Anolis sagrei: one gene and its partner. The protein of the gene in region 2 purifies or fractionates together with the protein of the main gene of each other region. This does not show direct contact. Links are inferred from orthologs where the notes say so. Each region holds a gene or a part of one and is shown on either strand. Other genes may lie near its edges. The genes, in order: REEP4 and RETREG3.

Region 1 (8,926 bases), on a different chromosome or scaffold from region 2:
CAAACTCCCCTAGGCTGTTTGGTCTCTGATTGCCCACCATCTTGTCTAAGGCCAGCCATATTGCCAAACCGCAATGAGTCGCCGACTTAGGCTGAGATATTAGCGGTATACAAGCGCATAAATAAATAAATAAATAAATAAATAAACCTTTTAGCCAAACTGCTACAGCAGTGTTTCTCAACCTGTGGGTCCCCAGATGTTTTGGCCTTCAACTCCCAGAAATCCTAACAATTGGTAAACTGGCTGGGATTTCTGGGACTTGTAGACCAAAACACCTGGGGACCCACAGGTTGAGAACCACTGTGCTACAGACTGATGTAGAGAGGAAAGCGCTGAAGGCTCTGACAGTTGCAAACTAATGACTAAATCAAACAAAATGTGACTCAAGACTTTGTCCTGGGAAGAGAGAGGCAGGGCCAAAAGACTGGAGCATGATTCCCAAGTACTGCGATGCATTCGAGACCAGGGAAGAAAGGGGATTTTGGGGAATGCGGTTCAGATTCGGGTAAGGAAGACTTACCAAGAAATGAAGGTGTCTGCAACAGTCTCGGTGGCCATAAAGAGGGCAAACACGATCCAGTACATCATCCAGCGCACCTGCCAGGAAACCAGGGAAGTGTTAATGGAATCCTGCCAATGCAACATCTCTCCTTCTTGGCCACAAAGCTAGGATGTTAAGATCATCTGGGGAGGCCCTGTTCTTGGTCCCGCCTGCATCACAAGTATGTCTGGCGGGGACGAGAGACAGGGCCTTCTCAGTGGTGGCCCCTCGGCTGTGGAACGTCCTTCCTACAGATATTAGATTGGCCCCCTCCCTGTTGACATTTCGGAGGAAAGTGAAGACCTGGTTATTCGAGCAGGCATTTGAATAGGCAGTGTAATGAATATAGGAATATGGAACAACGGATGATGAGATTGGATCTTGATTCTACCTATGAGATGTTATAGTTATGTTTTATTGATTGTTTATTATGTCATTGTTTTATTTTTTTACTGTTTTTATGATGTTGAGCATTGAATTTTGCTATTGTTAACCACTTTGAGTCGCCCAAGGGCTGAGAAAAGCAGTATATAAATGAAGTAAATAAATAAATAAGGCCGTTCCCTAAGATACTAGGTCTGAGCTACTCTAACACCCATCTCTTCTAAGGTTTCCAGAGAGGGAAAAAATTAATCACTACATCTCTCCTGACACACAAGCAGAGAGAAATCTCAAAGCACACAGCACATAAGAGAGGTTCTTTAGATTTGTTCTTAAATTGCATTTGTATGTAAGTCGGAACAGGGACATTTTTGAAGTCTAACTCCAGCCAAAGACAGATAGACAGACAGATAAGGTTTGGAGAGCATAGGGAAGGTGTACCATTTCCTTTACTGTCCATGCCCCTGTTCAAAGATTTCCCCTTGCTTTCTGTCCCTGTGAGAATTGGCTTTTCCAAAATGTGGCTTGATGTGGAAATAAGTGTTGGAGGAAGCAACCTCTCAAGCCTCCTCTATGTGAGGTTTGTCTATTTCATTAGTATGTCATTTTGTAACCTTCAAACTACAGGAAAGGAGATTCCACCTGAATGTTAGGAAGAACTTCCTGACTGTGAGAGCTGTTCAGCGGTGGAACTCTCTGCCCCGGAGTGTGGTGAAGGCTCCTTCTTTGGAGGCTTTTAAGCAGAGGCTGGATGGCCATCTGTTGGGGGTGCTTTGAATTTGATTATCCTGCTTCTTAGCAGGGGGTTGGACTGGATGGCCCACGAGGTCTCTTCCAACTTATGATTCTATGGTTCTTGTTTGTAGTCTGCAGTTGCCTCGTCTTTTGTACTGAAGCAGTGGGAGGGGTGCAAGCATGTGATGGTTTAGGATGTTCCGTGTTAAAAGGAATTCAGTTAGAGAAGTCAGATGAGTCTTGAGCCTGTTAGAAGTCAGTTGAGCTTTGAGCCTTGTTAATAGAATGTCTTTTAGTGTGCAGAAGCTAATGTTAGAAGCTACTAAACTGTTGAGGCTTGTTTATATGCTTTAAGATACAAACTCTCCAAATATTTTCGAAGTATTTTAACAAAACAAATGTGCCTCTATCATCTATATAAATAAAAATGTAATGTTCATTTGTGGGATTAACGTAACTCAAAAACCACTGGACGAATTGCCGTCAAATTTGGCCACAAGAAACCTACTAAACCAAGGAGTGGGAACTGATTTTGCAATTTGGGAGTTGTAGTTGCTGGGATTTATCGATGACCTACAATCAAAGAGCATCCCGAACTCTACCAATCATGGAATTGATCCAAACGCGGTACAGAGGACTCCCATGACCAACCAAAAACACTAGAAGGGTTGGTGGGCATTGACCTTGAGTTTGGGAGTTGTAGTTCACCTACATCCAGAGAACACTGTGGGCTCAAACAATGATGGATCTGGAGCAAACTTGGCACGAATATTCTATATACCCAAATATGAACACAGATGGAGTTTGAGAGAAATAGACCTTGACATTTGGGAGTTATAGTTACTGGGATTTATAGTTCACCTACAATCAAAGCATTTTGAACCCCAACGATAGAATTGAGCCAAACTTCCCACACAGAACCCTCATGACCAAGAGAAAATACTGTGTTTTCTGATGGTCTTTGGCGACCCCTCTGACACCCCCTCATGACCCCCCCAGGAAGAGGTAATTTTCAACGGTAAGCAAATAGTATTTTGCCGCCCCCCGCCCCCAACCAATCACTAATATATATTTTCTGTTCGTCGTGGGAGTTCTGTGTGCCACATTTGGTTCAATTCCATCATCGGTGGAGTTCAGAATGCTCTCTGATTGTAGGTGAACTATACATCCCAGTAACTACAACTCGCATATGTCAAGGTCTATTTTCCCCCAAGAGCGCCCCTGGGCAAAATCAACTATACTGTGAATGCTTACTTTGCGTAATGGGTTGAGCCGCCCCTGCCCCCAGGGGTCCCATCCCCCACATTGAGACAAACTGCCTTAGTCTATTCTAAGCTAACTAAACTGTTTCTCACTGAGGACTTGAAACTTGGCCAGTGTGGAGTTGATTTCCAACAATCCCCTTCTTCAACCATAAATGCACAAGTCCATTAGATCAAACCCCATTCAATCAACCTCATCCCTAACTAAGCATTATCCTGTGGTCCCTTCGTCATTGTTGTCATGCAAAAAACTCACGTATTCCCGGATGTTCTTTGTCTTCACGGCCTTGTAGGAGGCGTAGGCCGGGTAGAGCATCCCAAAGATCAGCCTGTAACGGAACGGTGGGGTCAGGAAAGCCGGCCAGCAGCGGTACAGTCCGGCTAGGAGCCAGAGACCGTACTTCTTGGCCTGGCGCACCGCCTTGGCCTTCAGGGCTTCCATGGTGGCTCCAAAGAAAGGAAGCCCCTGCCCCAAATGAGGATCGAAGGAGAGGCGTATTGCAGAGTTAAGACTTCGAAGGAGCCACTCAAAACACCCCTTCTGGGATGCTCCTCTCCCTCCCACACAGGAAGGGCCGGTTTCCCAACTGGGGCAGGACCAGACTAGGCAAACCGGCTCCTCGGCCATACCTCCTCCCTCGCAGGTCTCAAACGAAAGCAACCATTGCCAGACTCTCCCCCAAAATATTATTATTATTATTATTAATAATAATAATAATAATAATTTTATTGATACTCCGCCTTTCTCCCCAATTGGGACTCAAAGTGGCTAATGATCCCACAATTTAGTCACAATGTATTTATTTTTATTTATTTATTTACTGTATTTGTATACCATCTTTCTCAGCCCTCCAGCGACTCAAGGCGGTTTACAGGCAACAAGTAATATACATAATATCAAAATGAACATAAAAACATTAAATACAATATAAAATCAGAAAAGAAATAATAAGCAACAGCAAGGAGACAGGTGTTTTTAAAGTCTCTTCCTCAGTCCCCTTCCTCCTTTTATTTGGTTTGAGGGCGGGGGGAGAAGAAGCAGGATTTCCTCCTTCTCCTCCTGAGGTGGCAGGCAGATGTAGTAAGCAACAGCCAGGAGAAAGGTGTTTTTAAAGTCTCTTCCTCAGTCCCCTTCCTCCTTTTATTTGGTTTGAGGGCGGGGGGAGAAGAAGCAGGATTTCCTCCTTCTCCTCCTGAGGTGGCAGGCAGATGTAGTAAGCAACAGCCAGGAGAAAGGTGTTTTTAAAGTCTCTTCCTCAGTCCCCTTCCTCCTTTTATTTGGTTTGAGGGCGGGGGGAGAAGAAGCAGGATTTCCTCCTTCTCCTCCTGAGGTGGCAGGCAGATGTAGTAAGCAACAGCCAGGAGAAAGGTGTTTTTAAAGTCTCTTCCTCAGTCCCCTTCCTCATCTTAGCTGGCTTGAGGGCGAAGGGGGGGGGAGAGAAGAAGCAGGATTTCCTCCTTCTCCTTCTGAGGTGGCAGGCAGATGTAGTAAGCAACAGCCAGGAGACAGGTGTTTTTAAAGTCTCCTCCTCAGTCCCCTTCCTCCTCTTAGTTGGCTTGAGGATGGGGCGGGGGAGGGGGCCGAGAAGCAGCAGGATTTCTTCCTTCTCCTCCTGAGGTGGCAGGCAGATGTAGTAAGCAACAGAAGGAGACAGGTGTTTTTAAAGTCTCTTCCTCAGTCCCCTTCCTCCTCTTAGCTGGCTTGAGGGTGGGGGGGGGGGAGAAGCAGCAGGATTTCCTCCTTCTCCTCCTGAGGTGGCAGGCAGATGTAGTAAGCAACAGCCAGGAGACAGGTGTTTTTAAACTCTCTTCCTCACTCCCCTTCCTCCTCTTAGTTGGCTTGAGGGCGGGGGGGGGGGGGGAGAGAAGCAGCAAGATTTCCTCCTTCTCCTCCTGAAGTGGCAGGCATGTGTAGTCAAGGCTTTCATGGCCGAAATCACTGGGTTGCTATGAGTTTTCCAGGCTGTATGGTCATGCGGAGGATTTATGTATGTTATATGCTGTTCTAATTTTAGAGTTTTTTAATACTGGTAGCCAGATTTTGTTCATTTTCGTGGTTTCCTCCTTGGAAACCACGAAAATGAAATTGTCCACATGCACAACAACAGAGAGGAAACAAACAAGCACATCTAATCACCTCTCAACAAAAGATTGCTACAGGCACTGCCAGGCCATTAAATGCTAATCAAGGCGATCAGTTGAAACATTCACACCTAGCTCCAGCAGACAAGAGTCCTTTGTCCCACCCTGGTCATTCCACAGATATATAAACCCCTTTTCCTAGTTCCAACAGACCTCACTACCTCTGAGGATGCTTGCCATAGATGCAGGCAAAATGTCAGGAGAAATGCCTCTAGAACATGGCCACATAGCCCAAAAAAACCTACAACAACCCAGTGATTCCGGCCATGAAAGCCTTCGACAATACATTCATCTGCCTAGTTTCCAACAGCCCTCACAACCTCTTTTTTTTTTGGTCTTGTCAGGAGCTACTTGACAAACTGCAAATCGCTTTTGGTGTGAGAGAAGTGGCCGTCTGCAAGGCTGTTGCCCAGGGGACCCCCAGATGTTTTTTTTATGTTTTTACCACCCTTGTGGGAGGCTTCTCTCATGTCCCCGCATGAGGAGCTGGAGCTGACAGAGGGAGCTCATCCTTGCTCTCCCCGGATTGGAACCTGCGACCTGTCAATCTTCAGTCCTGCTGGCGCAGGGGTTTAACCCACTGCGCCACTGGGAGCTCCTGATTCCGGCCATGAAAGACTTCAACAACATAGAGTCTGGATGGCTATCTGTCAGGAGGGTTTGGCTCGAGTTTTCCTGCCTGGCAGAAGGAGGCTGGGCTGGATGGCCTTTGGATAATCCTTTCCAACTCTATGTCCTGCACTTCTATTCTCCCTCCCAGCATTCACTCCCCTCCTTGAATCATAGCATCCTAGAGGTGGGAAGGGGCCACCCAGTCCAGCCCCTTTCAACCGTAAAGTGAGATTATATCCAATCCCTACTGACAGATGGCCACCCAGCCTCTGCTTTAAAACCTCCAGAGAAGGAGACTCAATTATTTATTTATTTATTTATTTACTGCGCTTGTAGACCGCCGTTCTCAGCCCTAGGGCGACTCACGGCGGTGTACAACATATAAAAACAATTTACAATAAAGGCAATATCACAAACAACAATAACAACATCACTATCAATAATACAATTACACTAAATCATTCGCGACGTCTCATCATAGAATCACAATCTAATTAGACTCCTATAGAACCATAATTAGATGAGACTACATGGACCATCCAGTCCCACACCTTCCTGCCATGCAGGAAAAGCACACTCAAAGAATTCCTAACAGATGGCCATCCAGCCTCTATTTAAAAGCCTCCAAGGAAGGAGCTTCCCATCTGCAAACTTGAAAAAAAGCATTCCCGCTAAGGCAGGCAGGGGCCAACTTGGGCCCTCCAGTGTTTTGGACGTCAACTCCCACCATTCCTAACAGCCAGTAGGCTGCTAGGAATGGGGGGAGTTGGAGTCCAAAACACCTGGAGGGCCCAAGCAGGCCCATGTCTGCTCTAAACCTTCATCCAAGTCATTAATAAAGATGTTGAACAGGATTTTTAGCTTTGAATATGTCTTAATGGATGTAAACTGTGAATTTTAAAGCGCTGTTATGTTTAATTCTGGTTTAATGTTTGCATATTTGCATGTTTCAAATTGTGCGTCAGCCGCTTTGAGTCTCCTTCGGGAGAGATAAAGTAGGGTATTAATAATAATAGTAATAATAATAATAATAATAGATACAGAGTGGCTTTGAGTTTCATTAGGGAGAGATAATGCAGGTTAATAATAATAATAGATACATAGCCGCTTTGGGTCTCCTTCGGGAGAGATAAAGCAGGGTATAAATAAACATAATAATAATAATAATAATAATAATAATAATAATAATAATAGATACATAGAGACTTTGAGTCTCCTTAGGGAGAGATAATGCGGGTCAATAATAATAGTAATAATAATAGATACATAGCCACTTTGGGTCTCCTTTGGGAGAGATAAAGCAGGGTATAAATAAACATAATAACAACAACAACAACAATAATAATAATAGATACATAGTGACTTTGAGTCTCATTAGGGAGAGATAATGCAGGACAATAATAATAGTAACAGATACATAGCAGTTTGAGTCTCATTAGGGAAAGATAATGCAGGATAATAATAATAATAATAATAATAATAATAGATACATGGAAGCTTTGAGTCTCATTAGGGAGAGATAATGTGGGTCAATAATAATAGTAATAACAATAGATACATAGCCACTTTGGGTCTCCTTCGGGAGAGATACAGCGGGGTATAAATAATAATAATAATAATAATAGATATATAGCGGCTTTGAGTCTCATTAGGGAGAGATAATGCGGGTTAATAATAATAGTAATAATAATAGATACATAGCCACTTTGGGTCTCCTTTGGGAGAGATAAAGCAGGGTATAAATAAACATAATAACAATAACAACAACAACAACAATAATAATAATAATAGATACATAGTGACTTTGAGTCTCATTAGGGAGAGATAATGCAGGACATTAATAATAGTAACAGATACATAGCAGTTTGAGTCTCATTAGGGAAAGATAATGCAGGATAATAATAATAATAATAATAATAATAATAATAATAGATACATGGAAGCTTTGAGTCTCATTAGGGAGAGATAATGAGGGACAATAATAATAGTAATAATAATAATAATAATAATAATAATAGATACATAGAGACTGAGTCTTATTAGGGAAAGATAATGCAGGACAATAATAATAGTAATAATAATAGATACATAGCCACTTTGGGTCTCCTTTGGGAGAGATAAAGCAGGGTATAAATAAACATAATAAACATAATAATAATAATAGATACATAGTGGCTTTGAGTCTCCTTAGGGAGAGATAATGCGGGTCAATAATAATAGTAATAATAATAATAATAGATACATAGCCACTTTGGGTCTCCTTTGGGAGAGATAAAGCGGGGTATAAATAAACAATAATAATAATAATAATAATAATAATAGATACATAGCAGCTTTGAGTCTCATTATGGAAAAATAATGCAGGACAATAATAATAGTAATAATAATAGATACATAGCCACTTTGAGTCTCATTAGGGAGAGATAAAGCAGGGTATAAATAATAATAATAATACATACATACATACATACATTGCCACTTTGGGTCTCCTTTGGGAGAGATAAAGCGGGGTATAAATAAACATAATAATAATAATAATAATAATAATAATTGGGCCTAGGGCAGATCCCTCTTTATGGCTCCTAAATAGTCACTCCTTTCCCGGAAGTAGAAGGGGAACCATGGGGGAGAAGCCCGGAGGTAGAAGGGACCCCAAAAGGTCATCCAGTCCAGCCCCCTTCTGTGAAGCACCATCTGAGCCACCCCGACAGATGGCCATGCCGTCAAACGTCAGGGATGGAAAGGAAGGGCCCTCGAGGGCATCCGAACAGCCCCCCCCGGACTCACACGACGGCACGGCAGAGAAGCCACGAAACCATGGTCGCCTCCCTCCTTCCTTCCTTCCTTCCTTCCTTCCTTTCCTTTCGGCTCCTTTGCAACCGCCGGACAACAGAGACGCCAAGGTCACTGCGCATGCGCGGAATCCTCGGACACCCTCCTCCGCGTGCGCCCATTGGCTGCTGGCGGCCACGCCCCCGCCTTCGAATGCACCAATGGGGGAAGCCAGTAAACTGCAGGGAGAAAGTTGAAAGTTGACCTTTGAGTGGATAGATAGATAGATAGATAGATAGATAGATAGATAGATAGATAGATAGATAGATAGATAGATAGATAGATAGATAGATAGATAGATAGATAGATAGATAGATAGATAGATAGATAGATAGATAGATAGATAGATAGATAGAGATAGATACAGATAGATACAGATAGATAGATAGATACAGATAGATAGATAGATAGATAAGAAAAA
Region 2 (7,843 bases):
GACCAGCTGAAGTTTCCAAGCGCTCTTCGGAGGTAGCCCTATGCAGAGCATGTTACAGAAATCTAGATGGGATGTAACTAAGGCATGGACCACCATGGCCAGATCTGGCTTCTCAAGGAATGGGCACAGTTGGTGCACAAGTTTAATTGTGCAAAGGCCCTCCTAATTACAACGGACACCTGGGCCTCCAGGTTCAGTGCCAAGTCGAGGAGGACCCCCAAACTATAGATCCATATCTTGTTGCAATAGGGATCCAGCACAGTGTGCAATAGGGATCCAGCAAAGGCTGGATCCCTATTCCCTGGTATGCTTTCCGACTGACCAGGAGTATCTCTGTCTTGTCTGGATTTAGTTTCAATTTGCTTGCCCTCATCCAGTCCCTTACTGACGACAAGCACTGATTTAGAGTTGGGTTACATACAAAAGTAACTTGAAAGAGATTCTGCGTATGGGGAGAAAAAACAGTGGAAGATATTGAAGATTTCTTAACTGACTGTCCAGCATATGCTGAACTGCAAAACACATATTTACATCCAATATTATCCAACTACAGGTCCCCGAGCAGAAATGATTTTCTGACATTCTTATTGCAAGGACAAGAAAGATCTACCATAATCAGAATGTGCCTTTTTATTCTGAAAGCTATCAAGAAAAGAGCAGATTTCCTGAAAGAAGAACCAGGAAAATAAGATTCTGACTGTAAATAGAAGGTCAGCTGCTGTCTTTTCCTTTTTGCCTTGTATTTTATTCGTGTTGTATTTTGAAATGGTCATATGACTAGTCAAATAAACAAATTATTATTATAATTATTACAAAAGTAACTTAGGAACTTTGATGGCTGAAAGCGAGGAGGAGCTGAGGAGCCTTCTAATCAAGGTGAAAGAAGAAAGCACAAAAGCTGGGTTGCAGTTAAACATAAAAAAACAAAGATTATGTCAACAAGAATGATTGACAACTGGGAAATAGAGGGAGAAAACGTGGAGGCAGTGACAGACTTCGTATTTTTAAGTGCAAAGATTACTGCAGACGCAGACTGCAGTCAGGAAATCAGGAGACGCTTACTTCTTGGGAGGAAAGCAATGACCAATCTTGATAAAATAGTGAAGAGTAGAGACATCACACTGGCAACAAAGATCCACATAATCAAAGCAATGCTATTCCCCGTAGTCACCTACGGATGTGAGAGCTGGACCATAGGGAAGGCTGAGTGAAGGAAGATAGATGCTTTTGGACTGTGGTGCTGGAGGAAGGTTCTGAGAGTGCCTTGGACTGTGAGAAGATCCAACCAGTCCATACTTCAGGAAATAAAGCCTGACTGCTCATTGGAGGGAAGGATACTAGAGGCCAAGATGAAGTACTTTGGCCATATTATGAGAAGACAGGCCAAGATGAAATATGAGAAGAAAGGAAAGCTTAGAGAAGACAATGATGCTGGGGAAAATGGAAGGAAAAAGGAAGAGGGACTGACCAAGGGCAAGATGGATGGATGGCATCCTTGAAGTGACTGGATTGACCTTGAAGGAGCTGGGGGTGGTGACGATCGACAGGGAGCTCTGGCGTGGGCTGGTCCATGAGGTCATGAAGAGTCGGAAACGACTGAACGAATGAACAACAATTTTGTAATGGTCATATGACTAGTCAAATAAACAACTTATTATAATTATTAATAAAAATAACTTAGGAACAAAGCCACAGAACCCATATTGTTCATAACCTGCATTTACCTAAATGCACATAAAGAAATATCTTGGAAATGGGTTTCCCGAGTCAAAATCCAAGATACATTTATGGTTCATATTAGACACTTTTTACGCACATAGCCTTAAAGTAATCTATCTATATATATAAATGCTCTGTGCATAATTAGTACCTTAAAAACAAAAGAACCAATGAATGAAATCACACCAAATTTGTCAACAAAACGTTTCACAACACAAGGAGTGACCATCACTCAAAAAATTATGATTTTGTCATTTGGGAGTTGTAGTTGCTGGGATTTATAGTTCACCTACAATCAAACTCTGAACTCCATCAACAATGGAATTGAACCAAACTTGGCACACAGAACTCCCATGACCAACAGAAAATATTGGAAGGGTTTGGTGGGCATTGACCTTGAGTCTGGGGCAAACTTTTCACACAGAACCCCCATGACCAACAGAAAATACTTAAGGCCATCCAATCCAACTCCCTTCATCAGGGCAAGAAAACGTAATCAAAGTCCTCCTGACAAAGAGCCATCCTGCCATAGAGATAGATAGATGGATGGATGGATAGATAGATATGATTCACACACACAAAGACATAGTATCATAGATTTGAAAAGGACCCCCTAAAGAAGGACAATGATATGTTGCATGTTCCAGAGTAGGCAAACCAGACAACCTCCACATCAACACTGACATAGAAGCAGCAAGAAATACTGTTTAGCCACAAGCATAAAGGAATTACATATATTAGAAACCAACACTTTCTAATTTCTTTGTTTTCCAGATCAACAGACTGGGCCACAGCAACGCGTGGCAGGGGACAGCTAGTTTCATAGAAATTATATTATTAGGGATGAAACAAAACATTTGTGTCTGTTGAGACTACCCAAAAAGCAAAGCTGTCAACAAGACACCCACTTGGGAGGATTTCAGACAAGGGATGCTCCACCTGAACACCTCAGAGGACAATATAAAAGGAAGGGATAGCAGGTGGAGACCCTACACCAGGCATGGGCAAACCTCGGCCCTCCAGGTGTTTTGGACTTCAACTCCCACAATTCCTAACAGCCTATCGGCTGTTAGGAATTGTGGGAGTTGAAGTCCAAAACACCTGGAGGGCCGAAGTTTGCCCATGCCTGGCCTAGACAGCGCCCCCGCCTCGCCCAGGCCTCTCACCCGAAGGCCGCGTGGGCTCCTGCCCATGCCAAGGCGCTCCTGGCCGGCCTTTCCCACACGAGCGTGGCCTGCAGGCTGCTCAACGCCGGCTCGTAAGGCCCGAGGCGGCCCCTCAGAGAGGAGCTCAGGGCGCGCACTCGTTGCTCCCGCTGCTCCGCCGCCGGGGCCTGGACGCCTCTGAGGGAACCACTACCGCCGCCATTGCTGCTCCCTTCTTCCCCCGCCGCTTCCATTCTTCTTCTTCCCCTCACAAAAAGCCCAGCGTCACCGGGAGACCGGTGGAACTGGCGGCAGGAACATTTCGTTTCCCCGTCACCAACGGCCGAGAGAGAGAGGAGGGGGGGCAGGCTCTGTCTCAACACAAGAAGCCGGTGCGCGCGTGCGCACAACACTGTCATGGCCGCCCCCTCTACTATGTTGCTTGCGCGCCATCTTGGCGTACGGCAGGAGACTTGCGCTCGCGTCTTTCATCCAATGAATTGAGGGGGAAATGTTTTCTGCCGCGCATGCGCGTTGCCAGGGAGAGAGAGCGGCTAGCAAGAGGGAGAAAACACAGAAAGCGCGCGGCTAACGGCGGCGTTTTATTTCTAGGCGGGAAGCGGGCGGAGAAGGAGCCGCCATGCCGAGGGAGATCATCACGCTGCAGCTGGGCCAGTGTGGCAACCAAAGTAAGGCTCCAAAGAGGGCGGTGAGGGCAATCAGAGGGGCCTGTGGGTCTTTCTTCCTCAGTGGAAACGAATGGGGCTGGGCCTAGGCTTTGGGCAAAGGGTCTTAGGGCCTTTCCAGACAGGCCCCATATCCCAGGACCGGATCCCAGGTTTTCTGGATTATATGAGTCCACACTGCCAGACAACCTAAAGCCCCTTCCACACAGCTGTATACATCCCCACGTTTTCCTCTTTGAGCTGGAATATATACACACACACATACACACACATATATATAAAAAGAGGGGGCCCCAGGAAGACAGTTCCATCTTGTTTCCTGTTTTGCTAATAATAATAATTATATATATATATATATATATATATATAAAACACGAAGAGTCGGGGACGACTGAACGAATGAACAACAAATATGTTTATAATATTATAATGTAATACAATATCATAATAATCATAGAATCAAAGAGTTGGAAGAGACCTCATGGGCCATCCAGTCCAACCCCATTCTGCCAAGAAACAGGAATATTGCATTCAAAGCACCCCTGGCAGATGGCCATCCAGCCTCTGTTTAAAAACTTCCAAAGAAGGAGCCTCCACCACACTCGGGGGCAGAGAGTTCCACTTGGGGAGATGGTGGTGGGATATAAATAAAGGATTGTTGTTGTTGTTGTTATTATTATTATTCCTATTGATGCAGGCCAAAATCCCATTGGCCTTTTTTGCCGCCACATCACATTGTTGGCTCATGTTTAACTTGTTGTCCACGAGGACTCACAAGATCTTTTTCACACGAACTTCTTTCAAGCCAGGCATCGTCCCCCATTTTGTATCTTTGCATTTCGTTTTTTCTGCCTAAGTGGAGTATCTTGCATTTGTCACTGTTGAACTTCATTTTGTTAGTTTTGGCCCATCTCTGTAATCTGTCAAGATCGTTTTGAATCCTGCTCCTGTCCTCTGGAGTATTGGCTATCCCTCCCAATTTGGTGTCGTCTGCAAACTTGATGATCCTGCCTTCTAACCCTTCATCTAAGTCATTAATAAAGATGTTGAACATCTATATAATTATATATAATTATATATTTTATGTTATATGTAATATTACTAATAATATTACAGTACAATGGCATAGTACAATATAGTAATATATAATACTGAAACTGTGCTATACTAGGAATATATATTGTATGTATATATATATCTTGTAAACCGCTCTGAGTCCCTTCCGGAGTGAGTTGTTCATTCGTTCAGTCGTTTCCGACACTTCATGACCTCATGGACCAGCCCACACCAGAGCTCCCTGTCGGCCGTCACCACCCCCAGTTCCTTCAAGATCAATCCAGTCACTTAAGGATGCCATCCATCCATCTTGCCCTTGGTTGGCCCCTCTTCCTTTTTCCTTCTATTTTCCCCAGCATCATTGTATTCTCTAAGCTTAATCATAATGCTTATTAAGCGTATTCAATAATATGCTTAATAATAATGCTAATAATATGCTTAATAATAATGCTTATTAAGCATATTCAATATACTTTATAAGCATTAATAATAATGCTTATAAAGCATATTCAAAGAAATAAGAGCAATAATAAAAATAGGGATTGGGATTACACCAAAATTAGCATTATTACTTATACATGATAATATAATTCCCTTACAAGAGGAGAAAGAATTGCTCTCTAATTTGATAACAGCAGCTAAATTGTTAATAGCAAAAAAAATGGAAGAAAAAAAGAAATTCAATTACAAGCTTAATAATAATTTATTATTATTATTATTATTATTATTATTATTATTACTCTCTAAACTTTCCTTTCTTCTCATGATGTGGCCAAAGTACTTCATCTTGGTCTCGACTATCCTTCCCTCCAATGAGCAGTCAGGCTTTATTTTCTGAAGTATGGACTGTTTGGATCTTCTGGCGGTCCAAGGCACTCTTTGATCTTTCCTCCAACACCACAGTTCAAAAGCATCTTTCTTTGCTCAGCCTTCCTTATGGTTCAGTTCTCACATCCATAAGTGACTACGGGGAATACCATTGCTTTAACTATGCGGATCTTGGTTGCAAGTGTGATGTCTCTACTCTTCACCATTTTATCGAGATTGGCCATTGCTCTCCTCCCAAGAAGTAAGCGTCTCCTGATTTCCTGACTGCAGTCTGCATCTGCAGTAATCTTTGCACCTAGAAATACAAAGTCTCCACAGTTTCTCCCTCTATTTCCCAGTTGTCAATCATTCTTGTTGCCATAATCTTGGTTTTTTGATGTTTTGCTGCAACCCAACTTTTGCGCTTTCTTCTTTCACCTTGATTAGAAGGCTCCTCAGCTCCTCCTCGCTTTTGGCCATCAAAGAGGTGTCATCTGCATATCTGAGGTTGTTAATGTTTCTTCCAGCAATTTTCACCCCAGCCTTGCATTCATCAAGCTCTGCACATCGCATGATGTGTTCTGCATACAAGTTGATCGGTGTGAGAAGGGCAGCATATAACTGTCGCAAATAAATACATAAATATATGGCAGTGTGGACTCAGATAATGCAGTTCAAAGCAGATACTGTGGATTATCTGCCTTGATATTCTGGGTTATATGGCTGTGTGGAAGGGGCCTCAGATAACACAGTTCAAAGCAGATTTTATTCCGCTGTGTGGAAGGGGCCTTTGTCTCCTGGTCTTCCTATATTCATTTCCAGTTCTCCGGTGAAAATAGATCGTAACTTTTCATCACCGATTGTTTCACATTAAATCTTTTATTAAATTATTTATTATTGTTATTGTTATCCACGAAGAAAATTCTACAGTTTTCCTTTACATTATTAGATGGTTAGTATTTATGTGATTTTTTTTCATAGTTCTTTCTCTCATTTTGCATTACATCAAATTGTCTTCTCCCTTTCCCTCTTGCAGTTGGGTTTGAATTCTGGAAGCAGCTTTGTGCAGAGCATGGCATCAGTCCTGAGGGCATTGTGGAGGAATTTGCCACAGAGGGTACTGATCGCAAAGATGTGTTTTTCTATCAGGTAAGATAGTTTTCTCTGGGCAGTTTTCTTCTGAGGATGCAGAATACTCAATGCCTGTGGCTTGTGAGCACACTCATTCTTCTCATTCAGTTGTGCACTTTATTTACTTCCCTGTTTGGGTTTGCTCTTAAGTGATGATTTCTTAAAAGCTGTATCACTTGTCCTTTTGTGAAAATAATCGAGTAATTCTGTCTTCTTCATTTTAAAAGTTTTGAGATCTGGGGTGCATTTACACTGTGGAATTAATGCAGCTTGGTGCCACTTTAACTGCCATGGCTCAATGCTATGGAATCCTGGGAATAATAATAATTTTAAAAAACTTTATTGAGAACACAAAAATGCTGGACATGGACAACTACCATGTCAGGCTACACAGAGAAGCCATTGAAATCCATATGCATGTGGACAATTTCAGCAGAAAGGAAGAAACCATGAAAATGAACAAATCTGGCTACCAGTATTAAAAATATTATAACAGTAAATAAAGAACAAAACTCAAACACAGGGGAACTCCAGACAAGAAACAATCAGGAACACCTAATCACTTCTTAACAAAAGATTCCCCCAGGCAGGAAAAAGGCACGCATAAAAACTGTCAGGCCATCAAATGCTAATCAAGGTGGTGAATTGAAACATTCATACCTACCTCCATCAGACAAGAGTTCTTTCTCCCACCCTGGACTTTTCACAGATATATAAATCCAATTTTCCTAGATTCCAACAGACCTCACAACCTCTGGACAGTTCTTGGGAAAAATTGAGAGCAAAATTGATAAGGAAAAAACATGGATGTGGCTCAAATAAAACTTTGAAAAAGGAGACGGAGAGCCTGATTCTGGCAACCCAAGAACAAGAAATTAGAACAAATACAATCAAAGTCAGAACTGAAAAGTTGACGACAGATTCCAAGTGTAAGGAAGCAGACGAAACGATGAATCACCTACTCAACTATTGCAAGAAGATCGCGCAGACGGATTACAAGCAAAGGTGTAATACAGTTGCTCAGATGTTCCATTGGAACTTGTGCCACAAATACCATCTGCCTGTGACAAAGAACTGGTGGGATCACAAACCTGAAAAAGTTATGTAAAATAAACACTTTAAACTATTCTGGGACTTCCGAATTCAGACTGACAGAATTTTGGAGCATAACACTCCTGGCCTCACGATTGTGGAAAAAACAAAAGTATGGATCGTCGAAGTTGCAATCTCAGGCAACAGCGGAATTGACGAGAAGCAACTAACATGATATGAGAATTTAAAGATTGAACTGCAAAGACT

The links.
Region 1: the proteins of RETREG3 (region 2) and REEP4 purify together in Homo sapiens (affinity purification with mass spectrometry; 3 studies listed by BioGRID and IntAct, with this or other methods). This does not show direct contact. The link is inferred for Anolis sagrei from reciprocal best matches to the Homo sapiens genes RETREG3 and REEP4.

What each region holds. Positions count from the first base shown.
Region 1 is NC_090027.1:23,058,323-23,067,248, reverse strand, and holds the start of REEP4 (receptor expression-enhancing protein 4), read right to left. Parts: upstream 3,600-8,926; 5' UTR 3,548-3,599; coding exon 3,176-3,547; intron 598-3,175; coding exon 521-597; intron 1-520. UniProt on the Homo sapiens protein: Microtubule-binding protein required to ensure proper cell division and nuclear envelope reassembly by sequestering the endoplasmic reticulum away from chromosomes during mitosis.
Region 2 is NC_090026.1:51,026,454-51,034,296, reverse strand, and holds the start of RETREG3 (reticulophagy regulator 3), read right to left. Parts: upstream 3,299-7,843; 5' UTR 3,284-3,298; coding exon 2,886-3,283; intron 1-2,885. Other genes in the region: TUBG1 (tubulin gamma-1 chain), read left to right, coding at 3,505-3,553, 6,450-6,562. UniProt on the Homo sapiens protein: Endoplasmic reticulum (ER)-anchored autophagy regulator which exists in an inactive state under basal conditions but is activated following cellular stress.